Macaca fascicularis: one gene and its partners. The main gene of each other region encodes a partner of the protein of the gene in region 3 in a complex. Links are inferred from orthologs where the notes say so. Each region holds a gene or a part of one and is shown on either strand. Other genes may lie near its edges.

What was found.
Region 1: LAMTOR1 (region 3) and LAMTOR3 share a complex: the UniProt entries of both Homo sapiens proteins name them as parts of the ragulator complex. The link is inferred for Macaca fascicularis from reciprocal best matches to the Homo sapiens genes LAMTOR1 and LAMTOR3.
Region 2: LAMTOR1 (region 3) and LAMTOR4 share a complex: the UniProt entries of both Homo sapiens proteins name them as parts of the ragulator complex. The link is inferred for Macaca fascicularis from reciprocal best matches to the Homo sapiens genes LAMTOR1 and LAMTOR4.

The regions. Positions count from the first base shown.
Region 1 is NC_088379.1:105,533,867-105,537,612, reverse strand, and holds the start of LAMTOR3 (ragulator complex protein LAMTOR3), read left to right. Parts: upstream 1-1,043; 5' UTR 1,044-1,188; intron 1,189-1,466; 5' UTR 1,467-1,503; coding exon of another isoform or gene 1,504-1,512; intron 1,513-1,828; 5' UTR 1,829-1,845; coding exon 1,846-1,869; intron 1,870-3,458; coding exon 3,459-3,493; intron 3,494-3,746. UniProt on the Homo sapiens protein: As part of the Ragulator complex it is involved in amino acid sensing and activation of mTORC1, a signaling complex promoting cell growth in response to growth factors, energy levels, and amino acids.
Region 2 is NC_088377.1:48,816,000-48,819,745, forward strand, and holds the start of LAMTOR4 (ragulator complex protein LAMTOR4), read left to right. Parts: upstream 1-1,042; 5' UTR 1,043-1,116; coding exon 1,117-1,119; intron 1,120-1,639; coding exon 1,640-1,720; intron 1,721-3,746. UniProt on the Homo sapiens protein: As part of the Ragulator complex it is involved in amino acid sensing and activation of mTORC1, a signaling complex promoting cell growth in response to growth factors, energy levels, and amino acids.
Region 3 is NC_088388.1:70,860,003-70,863,748, reverse strand, and holds the end of LAMTOR1 (ragulator complex protein LAMTOR1), read left to right. Parts: intron 1-1,484; coding exon 1,485-1,630; intron 1,631-1,882; coding exon 1,883-1,960; intron 1,961-2,322; coding exon 2,323-2,449; intron 2,450-2,823; coding exon 2,824-2,916; 3' UTR 2,917-3,447; downstream 3,448-3,746. UniProt on the Homo sapiens protein: Key component of the Ragulator complex, a multiprotein complex involved in amino acid sensing and activation of mTORC1, a signaling complex promoting cell growth in response to growth factors, energy levels, and amino acids.

The DNA of each region.
Region 1 (3,746 bases), on a different chromosome or scaffold from region 3:
TAAAATTTTCTGAAAATTTGGCTATGAAAGGGAGTAGAGGAAAAACAGGGTGGTAGCTGAAAGAGGATGTGATTTCTAAAGAAGCTTTTCTTTTGAGCATCTCGCTCTGTCACTCAAGCTGGAGTTCAGTGGGGCGATCACCACTCAATGCAGCCTCAAACCCTGGGCTGAAGGGATCCTCATGCCTCAGCTTCCGGAGTACCTGGCGCACGCCACGTAAGGCTAATTCTTTATTGTTGTTATTATTATTAGTAGTAGTAGTAGTAGTAGAGATGGGGTTCTATCTTGCCAGGCTGGTGTGGAACTCCTGGGCTCAAAGGATCGTCCCGCCTCGGACTCCCAAAGTGCTGGGATTACAGGCGTCAGTCACCGCACCCGGCAAGGCTTTTTTTTTTTTTTTTTTTTTTTTTTTCCAATTATTATTTATTATATGAGACCTTACTAATTTTTTAAAATTCTGATGTAAAAGGGAACATAGAAAGTACCCGTAATCCCGTGTCTGCATGTTAAAAGTAGACGCTTGAAGTGCTCCAGAAAACCCATGGCTCCTCCCCATTCAATCTAGATAAGGCCTTGAGTAAAGAGCACCCATGGGGAAGTCACAAGAACCTAGGAAACAAGTCAGAAACCTGTGGACCTGATACTTCCAATCACAGGCAATCTGTTGCTTGCTCTTCAGCTCATCACACCATCCCCTCAAATTTCTTCATCTACAAGAAAAGGTTTTAAGATAACGGACCCTGAAAAACTAATGACATTTATACACCCTCTCTGCACAAGAATGTCTTGTAACACATAACCTTGCTTGCATTTTCTGGGGTCCTCGGGGTCCAGCGATCTCGTACAAATCCTCTACCCCACAGCTGACGTCCCTCGGCCCGTGACACAAGGCGCAGGCGCAAGACGCGGCCCGCGGTGGGCGGGGGAGGGGCGGGGCGCGTCGGGCGGCCGCGCCCTCGAAGCTTCCGCCAGGCCCTTCCGGAAATCCAGTATCGTGGGGCGACGGCGTAGAAAGTGCTTCCCGGAGCGCCGAAGAGGTCATCAATCATGTGACGGTGGCTTGAGGAGGAACCTGTCTTTAAAGCTGTCCCTGAAGTGACAACGGAGAGAACCAGGCAACCCAGAAACCCCAGGTAACTGGCGCTACTTTGCCTGGTTTGAGGCCTAGTCCCGGAGGTGGCGCGGGTGGTGAGACTAAACAGAAGGAGAGGGCCCCCTCTTCTTTTCTTTGGGCCTAGCTCTTTGGGGTGGAGGGGCAGGGATGGGGTGGGCTGAGGCAAGGCGTGCCAGCTGAGTACCCGTGGGGGTGTTGGGGCACTCCGACTCCCACTGGGCTCGCTGGGCCAAGCCCTAGAACCGCGGGGGTTTTGCCGGGTTCTGACCAGGGCTGATCTTGCTTATTAAGTTGGGGGTGGGGAGGACGAGGAAGCCAAAGAGGTAAGAGTCACCGGGAGTTTCTCTTCCAGGCGTGGAGATTGATCCTGCGAGAGAAAGGGGTTCATCATGGCGGATGTGAGTGACACCCCCACATAAGAGGAAGGGAGAGTGGGGAATTTGGAGGGGAATACTGAGCGGGGAGAGGTAGAAGATCCTCCCATCCCCACCCATCCCAGTTAATTATTTTCTCTTGTATGTGAAATGGGAGACTAATATGAATGAATTTGCAGGATCCTGAGTTTCTGCCTCGAATGGGGGTGGAGGACACTAAGGTGCTTGAGACTGAGAAAATTATATTCTCCCTACTCACCAATCCAGCTGGGGTATAAGAGAGGCTCTGTGTATTTACCATTTGAAATTCTGAATGATGGTTCGCTGCTTTTCCTGTCAGAATTTGGTCAGTAGGACATGTACCCAGAATACTTTTTTCCAGTAAGTGGTAACAATATCTTATTAGGTTTATTGTGGCAATTTACGATGATTTCTAACCCATGCCTCTTTAGAAACATAACATGAAATAAAATGAGGGGTGTGTGTGTGTGTGTGTGTGTGTGTGTAGGATGAGAGCAAAAATAAGCCAATAGTCATAACATGAAATAAAATGATCATTCGGGTTTGGAGAATAGTAAGTGTTGGAGGCTCAAAACAACAGATATCTGATTAATCCATGCGAGGTCAAAATTGATACCTCAAGTGTCAGTGAAATTCCTGGGATGAGAGAGTGTAATGAGACAAAATAAGATAATCTTCTGGCCGGTGAGGTGGCTTCGTCTGTAATCTCAGCATTTTGGGATGCCGAGATGGAAGGATCACTTGAGGCTGGGAGTTCAAGATCAGCCTGGGCAACGTAGCAAGACCCCGTTATACAAAAAGAAATTTAAAAACCAGGCGCATTGATAACCCTGTAGTCCCAGCTATGCTGGAAGTGAGGCGGAAGGATTGCTTGAGCCCAGAACTTGGAAGTTGCAGTGAGCCCCAGCTTAGAAAAATAAAATAGTCTTATATTTCTTTAGTCTTAACTGTGTTTAGTGTTAAACACTTGACACACTTCGCCATTTATCTTATATTCTGTAAGTCTGGGCTGGGCGTGGTGGCTCACGTCTGTAATCCCAGCACTTTGGGAAGCCAAGGCGGGTGGATCACCTGAGGTCAGGAGTTCGAGACCAGCCTGGCCTACATGGTGAAACCATATCTCTACTAAAAATACAAAAAATAAGCTGGGACGTGGTGGTGGGTGCTTATAATGCCAGTTACTCGGAGGTTGAGGCAGGAGAATCGCTTGAACCTGGGAAGCAGAGGTTGCAGTGAGCCGAGATTGCGCCATTGCACTCCAGCCTGGACAGCAAGAGCAAAACTCCCTCTCAAAAACAAAAAAAAAGACTGTTGCCTCACATAGTCATATATAATTTATTTTAGGTCCTTAAACAGAATATTTTAATAATTATGTTATAATAATATGCCTTACACTGTTTCATTATTTGTTGAGTAGGTGAGTTCAACAAATAATGAAACAATGGAAGGCATATTTTTATAATGTGAGACAACAGTCTTACAGAAGTCATATCACCTTACCCAAGACCATTAAAATGATGGTGGAAAGTCTATCTTTGAACCTGGAAAGGTGTTTATAATGTCTTCTCAAGTGAACACAATAGCAACAGGATATAAAACACTAGTATGAAAATTATGATATATTTTTATGGCTAAAATGTATTTGTGTTTCCCATTTCTAGGTATGCTAATCCATGCAACTTCTCAAAAAACTTTAACAGCACTCTTATGATGTAGGTTCTATATTAGCCCTATTCAACAAATAATGAAATAGGCTTAGGGAAAAAAGGTTAGTTAACTTACTCCAAGTTGCATGACTAGTAAACATCCAAATCAGACAGAGAAAGATAAAACACAGCAAGAAAGGTTATGAATGATAACTGAACGTCCCTAAAATTTGGATAGGACAGGATCTAGAAAACAGTGGAAGGCCTATTATTATAACATGATTTTTTAATATTCTCTTTCAGGACCTAAAGCGATTCTTGTATAAAAAGTTACCAAGGTAAGAAATTTTTAATTTGTTACTGAATAAATTCTATATGCCATATGTTAATTTTATGAAGTATTTTGTCTGTGTATTTTCAATGTTTTGAAGTATCTCTGAGATTTCCTTTAATATGAATATTTTTTGCCAGCATCATGTCCTCTGGAAAATTTTCGTCACAACCGCTTTCCTCATTTATGTCAATAAGTTTGCCTTCACTGAGTTCTCTGTGTATCTAGAGGGATAGTGTCAGCATTCCCTTGGTCACCTG
Region 2 (3,746 bases), on a different chromosome or scaffold from region 3:
ACGGCAACAGGTCTAGAAATTATTTAAAACAAAAATTTCCAATGTTTACATTGTGTGATGTATGTATGTATGTATGTATGTATGTGTGTGTGTGTGTATCATTCCAAGGTACTGTTTCTAATTTTTTCCTGCAGAGAATATTCAGTATTGTATCTGCATTGGCTAGCTGGTGATTCTATTCACCATCACATTGTCCCAGACTGAATCTGAAGACAAAAAACCACTTTGGGAACAAAATCTTTTTTTTTTTTTTTTTTTTTTTTTTTGAGATGTAGTCTCGCTGTCTCCCAGGCTGGAGTGCAGTGGCGTCATCTCGACTCACTGCAAGCTCCACCTCCCAGGTTCGCGCCATTCTCCTGCCTCAGCCTCCCGAATAGCTGGAACTACAGGCGCCCGCCACCACGCCTAGCTAATTTTTTGTATTTTTTAGTAGGGACAGGGTTTCACTGTGTTAGCCAGGATGGTTTCCATCTTCTGACCTCGTGATCCGCCCGCCTCGGCCTCCCAAAGTTCTGGGATTACAGTTGTGAGCCACCGCGCCCGGCCAAGGGAACAAATTCTTGTCTTCAACAAAGAGCGGTCTTGAGTAGGCATAAAAGTAGCATTTGAAGGTTGGGCGCCCAGCCTTGAATAGCTTTTTACATGCATTGCACGTTATTTCCTTTTATTATCACGTTTTTTGGGTCCAGTCTTAAACCTGGGAAGGCATTCGTTTGGGAGGTCACACTGGCGGGCATCCTGGTTCAGGCGGAACCCAGACTCTAGAAAGCGCGCGCGGAGCCACACGGTCAACCCTGTCCCACTCCTGGCCCTCCCACACCGTCCCCTCCGCGGAAGCACTCCCGCCTCCTCTCGCTCAGGCACTGACTGAGAGGCGGAGAGATGGGTGTTAAAGAGGGGATATCACCAATCAACGTGCGCCTCCGGGAAGGAGCGCTTCGCACTGGCTGGTTGGGTCTGACGACGTGGCCACGATCCAATCCTCATGCTAGAGGCGCGGCTAAAGGGTAGGGAAGCAAGCAGAAGGAGGAGCGCGCCGGGTGCGAGCACGTGACCGGGGCCTGAAGCCGGAAGCTACCTATCTGGTAGGGAGCTCCACCAGCACCGAAGACTGCGATGGTGAGTGAGGACGCATGCGCGGGAGGACCCGCCGGGGGTTCCGCGTCTCTGCTCCCCAATCTGTGTGGTTTCCCCCTCGTGGGTCTGCGCTCCACCCTCACCTCCTATCCGCTCGGGGAGGAAGACGGGATGGAGATGGGAGGGATGGCGACGGGAATGCTGGGGAGGGGTCTGTGGGAGGGTGTTCTGGGGCTGCGGGTAGTCTGCAGGTCAGGGGCGGGGAGGTGGAGAGAGGGTCTGGGGGCAGGGGCCAGTGGGGCAGCGAAGTCCCCTCGGAGTAGCATAGGTGGAGCGTGGAAGGCCAGGGGAGCCCGGGGGCCGAGAGTGGGGGCAGATGGAGGCTCGGGAAGATCAGTATTGAGGACCATGTAGGGGGAAGGGAGCCGGGAAAGGACCTGGCTGGGGAATGAGAAAACCTGGGGCCATCGCCAATCAAGAGACTTGGGTTTGTAGGTGAAGGGTATCAGGGGCCATCCATCCCTCTAGCATGCTTCTCACTACTTGCATCTTTACCCACTAGACTTCTGCACTGACCCAGGGGCTGGAGCGAATCCCAGACCAGCTCGGCTACCTGGTACTGAGTGAAGGTGCAGTGCTGGCGGTGCGTTCTGGAAAAGGGAGGGGGTCCCTTAGTGCACACAGCCCGGTAACCCCTTCTAATATTGGCCCTTCTTTTCTCGACTTTTACCTGGTTTGCGGTCTGGCATCTATTAGGTTGGTACAAAAGTATTTGCAGTTTTTGCAATTACTTTCAGTAATCAGTCTGTGGAATCTTAGTCTCCTAACGGTTGCGGTTTATTTATTTATTTATTTATTTACACTTTTTGAAACTGAGTTTCATTCTTGTTGCCCAAGCTGGAGTGCAGTGGTGCGATCTCCGCTCACTGCAACCTCCGCCTCCGGGGTTCAAGCGATTGTCCTGCCTCAGCCTCCAGAGTAGCTGGGATTACAGGCATGTGCCACCACGCTCGGCTAATTTTTTGTATTTTTAGTAGAAACGGGGTTTCACCGTGTTAGCCAGGCTGGTCTCAAACTCCTGACCTCAGGTGATCCACCTGCCTCAGCCTCCCAAAGTGCTGGGATTACAGGCGTGAGCCAACATCCCTGGCCTTTATTTGATATTTCTTAAAGAGTCATTTGTATTTTGTTCCATAGTACTGTATAGTGTTAGGTCTCTAGATGTTTTTGATTTAGCTAGAGACAAAGCTTAAGGTTAAGTGTTGAAAACAATACAGGTGGTAAAAGACTATTGAAGGAATCCAGGATATTAAAAATTCAACATGTTATGACAAGGTAACTAACTTCCCTGGAGGTAGGAATTCAGCCCAGCTTAAAGGAGAGTATTTACAGTGGGGAGGTGGACATATTTGCAGGTGTGTGGCACTGACCTTTCTAAACTGATGGTAAGTCTGTGCTGAAAAGATTTGGGAAGATTTGAGGGAAGAGGAAGATATGGTCAGGGAGGATCTGATTGTGAAGGATCTTCAAGGCCAGGTTAACACACTTGAACTTATTCTTCTTGGAGGTAATACAGCTTGAAAGGTTTTTTAAACAGAAACAAGACCCAGTGAGGTGGTTGAGCAATATTGTTGTTAGTGATGTGAAGATGGGCAGAAGGAGGCATCATTAAGAGATTAGACTGGGCCAGGCATAGGTGGCTCAGGTCTTTAGTAATCCCAGCATTTTGGGAGGCCAAGGCGAGTGGATCACGAGGTCAGGAGAGCTAGACCATCCTGGCCAACACGGTGAAACCCTGTCTCTGTTAAAAATACAAAAACAAAATTGGCCAGGCGTGGTGGTGGGCGCCAGCTACTCGGGAGGCTGAGGCGGGAGAATGGCGTGAACCAGAAAGGCGGAGGTTGCAGTTAGCCAAGATTGCACCACTGCACTCCAGCCTGGGTGACAGAGCAAGACTCCGTCTCAAAAAAAAAAAAAAAAAAAAAGAGATGAGACTGGGCAAGTGGCAGTAAGAAGGAGCAAGGAGAGAAGAGTTTTGTTTTTGTTTTTGTTGTTTTTTGAGACAGAGTCTCGCTCTGTGGCCCAGGCTGGAGTGCAGTGGCATGATCTCAGCTCAGGGCAACCTCCGCCTCCCAGGTTCAAGCGATTCTCCCGCCTAAGCCTCCTGAGTAGCTAGGATTACAGGCGTATGCCACCACACCCGGCTAATTTTTGTATTTTTAGTAGAGATGGGGTTTTGCCATGTTGGCCAGGCTGGTCTCGAACTCCTGACCTTGTGATCTGCCCACCTCAGCCTCCCAAAGTGCTGGGATTACAGGCATGAGCCACCGCGCCCGGCCCTTTTTTTTTTTTTTTTTTTAGGACAGAGTCTTGCTGTCACTCAGGCTGAAGTGCAGTAGTGTGATCACATCTCATTGCAGTCTTGAACTCCTGGGCCCAAGCGATCCTCCCACCTCAGCATCCCAAGTAACTAGAACTATAGGCAAGCACCACCACGCCCAGCCATTAAAAAAAAAAAAATTTATAGGGACAGGGGTCTTGCTATGTTGCCCAGGTTGGTCTCGAAGTCCTGGCCTCCATCAGTCCTCCTGCCTTGGCCTCCCAAAGTGCTGGGATTATAGGTATGAGCTACTGTGCTTGGCTGGGAGAAGATATTTTAAAGGAGGAAT
Region 3 (3,746 bases):
GTTGTGGAGTTGTGGGCAGGGGAGCTGGAGCCTGCAGCAGGAAAGACTGAGGAACTGAGACAGGCCTGGAGGGGAGCATTGAGGAGTCTGACACTGAAGGTTGGTGAGTCAGCATTAGCCAGGATGTCCCCCTGGGCCCATCCTTGGCTTTGTCCAGGGCACTCTTGCTCTTTATGGGTTGGATAGATACCCAGCAGGTTTGTTTTTCCAATTTACCACTGATAACAGCATTCAAGGATTTGCAGCTGATGGACTCAAGGCAGGGTCAAATCCAGAAATATTACAGTAGATAGAACAGGGGACTGAAACAGGACAAGTAGTAAGACCAAACCAGTGAGGAAGCTTGGTTTGGTCTTACGTTAGTTCAGGGGTTGTGATTATCAGCATAGGCCAGCAGTAACAGGGCTGCTGAAAATTTACATGGGCTACTCAGGTGGTTTAGCAAGGGCGGGAATAGCTCCATTGTTGTTTGTTTTGAGATGGGGTCTTGCTCTCTTGCCCAGGCTGGAGTACAGTGGCACAATCCTAGCTCACTGCAGCCTCAAACCCTGGGTTCATACAGTCCTCGCACTTCAGCCTCCCAAGTAGCTGGGACTGCAGGGCTCACACTACCAAGTCCAGCTAATTTTTTATTTTTTTTGTAGAGACAAGGTCTTGCTTTGTTGCCCGGGCTGGTCTCAAACTCCTGGACTCAAGCAATCCTCCTGCTTTGGGCTCCCAAAGTGTTGGGATTCCCAGTATGAATCACCACACACGGGTACAGCTCTACTGCTCAGATCAGGATACACCTCGTACACTCAGTTTGATTCTGGGAGTCACATAGAAAAAGAGCACCAGAGCATAAGAGGGTGAACACCTTCCTAGGGACCTGCCTTCAAGAAGGGAACACACTTGTACTGTGTGACCCAGAGCTGGGCTGGGATTCCTGCCCTGACATAATTTGAGAAATGGCCATGGAGAGGTTGGGCTTGCTTTCCCTTGGGGCCTAGGGCCTTGTCTGGACTCACCAGGGCTTCCATCTTGGAAGGAAACAGCTTTGCTGCGGAGGGCCTGGTCCTGGGGGATGAGGAGGGCTGTTCTTGGGCTCCTGACTTGCACTGGTTTCCCCTTTAGCTCCCATTGCTTTGCTATGTCTCAGCTCCTCTGTCTTCCAGCCTCTAGTATCCTTTCTCTGCCAGGTCCTAGAATGTTTTTCAAGCTCCAGGGCTGTTGCTGACTATCTGCTTTGTGCCTCTGTCCCTTTTTTCAGGGCCTCTAGGACTGCCTGGCTCCACTCTCGTTTATCCTAGAACACCAACTCAGCTGAGCTCCCAAGGATAGGCAGGAACTGAGTCTTATCTGGCATTCCATAAAGCTGGGCACTTTGGATATTCCTTATAGAAATATTTTTGGTGTTTAAGGTCAGAGCTGGGCTGAGGGTAGCACCCATGAAAGGCAGGATCTAAGGGTCCTGGGGCTGACTTCTCTCCCATGACCACTTCTAGGACCGAGAGGAACGGAAGCTGCTGCTGGACCCTAGCAGCCCCCCTACCAAAGCTCTCAATGGAGCCGAGCCCAACTACCACAGCCTGCCTTCCGCTCGCACTGATGAGCAGGCCCTACTCTCTTCCATCCTTGCCAAGACAGCCAGGTAAATGTCAGAGGACCAGGCCTGGGTCAGAGCTCCTCTATCCATATTAAAGGCCAGGATAGAAGGAGCGAGGCTCAGGACATGGGGGATGGGATAAGGTCACTGGAGAGAGGTGCCTCCATGTCCAGCCCTGCGCCAGTAGGCAGGAGGGAAACTGGAGTCAGATAACCCTGGAGTTGGTACCTGGCACTGAGTCCTGTTTGTCCTTCTCAAAAGCACCTGTCATGTCATCTCTGTCTCTTCTCCCTAAAGCAACATCATTGATGTATCTGCTGCAGACTCACAGGGCATGGAGCAGCATGAGTACATGGACCGTGCCAGGCAGTACAGGTGAGCACCTGGCCAGCGTGGGTCCCTCAGGCTACTTGGGCTCCTACCCTCCATCACTGTTCCAGCTTTGGAGCCTGGCCCCTAGTCCAAGCTTCTCATTTGGTGCAGCCCTGGAGACTGACCACAGATCACTTGGGTGCTTCAGTAAATATTCATGTCAGCCCTGTTTACCCTGTGACACTCTCGAGGGCATTGAGGCCAAGGGAGGTGGGCCTAGAGTGAGTCTGTGATGAGCTGAGACCTTCCCTCCCAGATACCCCCCTCAGCACCCTGCTTCTCTGGCCTGAGGGGATGAGGCTTACCTGGGCTGGGCAGGGCAAACTGTGGCTTAACTGCGTACCCCCACCCCCTCTCTCGGTCAGCACCCGCTTGGCTGTGCTGAGCAGCAGCCTGACCCATTGGAAGAAGCTGCCACCGCTGCCGTCTCTTACAAGCCAGCCCCACCAAGTGCTGGCCAGTGAGCCCATCCCGTTCTCTGATTTGCAGCAGGTGAGACACCCCTTGCCTGCCCCTGCCCACCCTTCCCACACTGCCCAGGGTGTGGCAGAGGGTTCACCCACTCTGCCTCAGAGGAGGTAGGGAAGATGGAGTTAGGGAGCCTGGTAGCCTTGTGGGCCCCAGTTCCCTCTCACCTCGTTCTCTTAACATATGTCTTTCCTATCTCCTTCCCGCAACCTTTATTGTTTCACTCCCCTTTGTTCTTTTCCTTCTGTCTCTCCCATCCCTGTCTTTCTCTCTGCCTTCCTGTTCCCCATCATTCCCTCCTTCTCCTTCATCACCATCTAATCTCCCCTCCCTCTTTTTCCTGATCGGCCTCCTCACCTGTCTCTGTTCCTCTCCTCCCCGGTCCCTCTCTGTCTTAGGTCTCCAGGATAGCTGCATATGCCTACAGTGCACTTTCTCAGATCCGTGTGGACGCAAAAGAGGAGCTGGTTGTACAGTTTGGGATCCCGTGAAGAGAGGGGTCCTTGGACAGCTCTTCTCCTCTCTTCCTCCCATCTCTACCCCACCCCCTTGGCCCCCAGCCTCACTGCGGCTTATATAGTACCCTAACCTGCTACTAATCACAGAGAAAAATGTGAAGAAGGAGGAGAAGAGGAAGGCTAGAAGCCTGAGCAAGTGAGGGTAGAACCTTTTGGGACTGGCCTTTGAAGCTCTGGCCAGGGATAGGGTGGGGGCCAAAAGGACAGAGCCTGGTATGTCGTCATAGTCATTGAGAATGTGGAGATACCAGTTTGGGTGGGGGGTGATCACCAGGGGACCTAGGGAGATCCCCTTCCCACCCTCTCTCTTGGCCTCAAAGTCACTCCTGCCCCCTCTCCCTGACTTGGTGCTCACATGCACCTCACGAGGGTTTGTGACCAGGGTCTGGATGAGCTTGAATTTGAATGAATTGAGTTTGTATTTCTAGAACCCTGGGTTTTTACATGTTTGGTCTTTTTTTTGTTTTGGTTTGTCACCCTCGATAAAGGAAGTATATTCATCCATGTGCTGGTTCTGGCCCCTCTGTCCTATTCATTCTACTTTTGACTACTCAGGTCTATGAGAGTAAGATGGGGGGCAGGGGGCATCTTGCAGAGGCACTGAAGATGAATCCAGGAGATAAGGGTTTAGGGTGTCAGCTCCTAGCTGAGACCTGGCTTGGGCTAACCTCAGATTGGATGAGACTGTTCTTGTCCCTTGTCCAGTGATGATGGGAACACTGTCAAAGCTGAACAGACCTGAATCTGAGGCAGCTTTGATTCTTGGGGACCCTGCCTCAGACTCAGTGGAATTACCAGCAGCC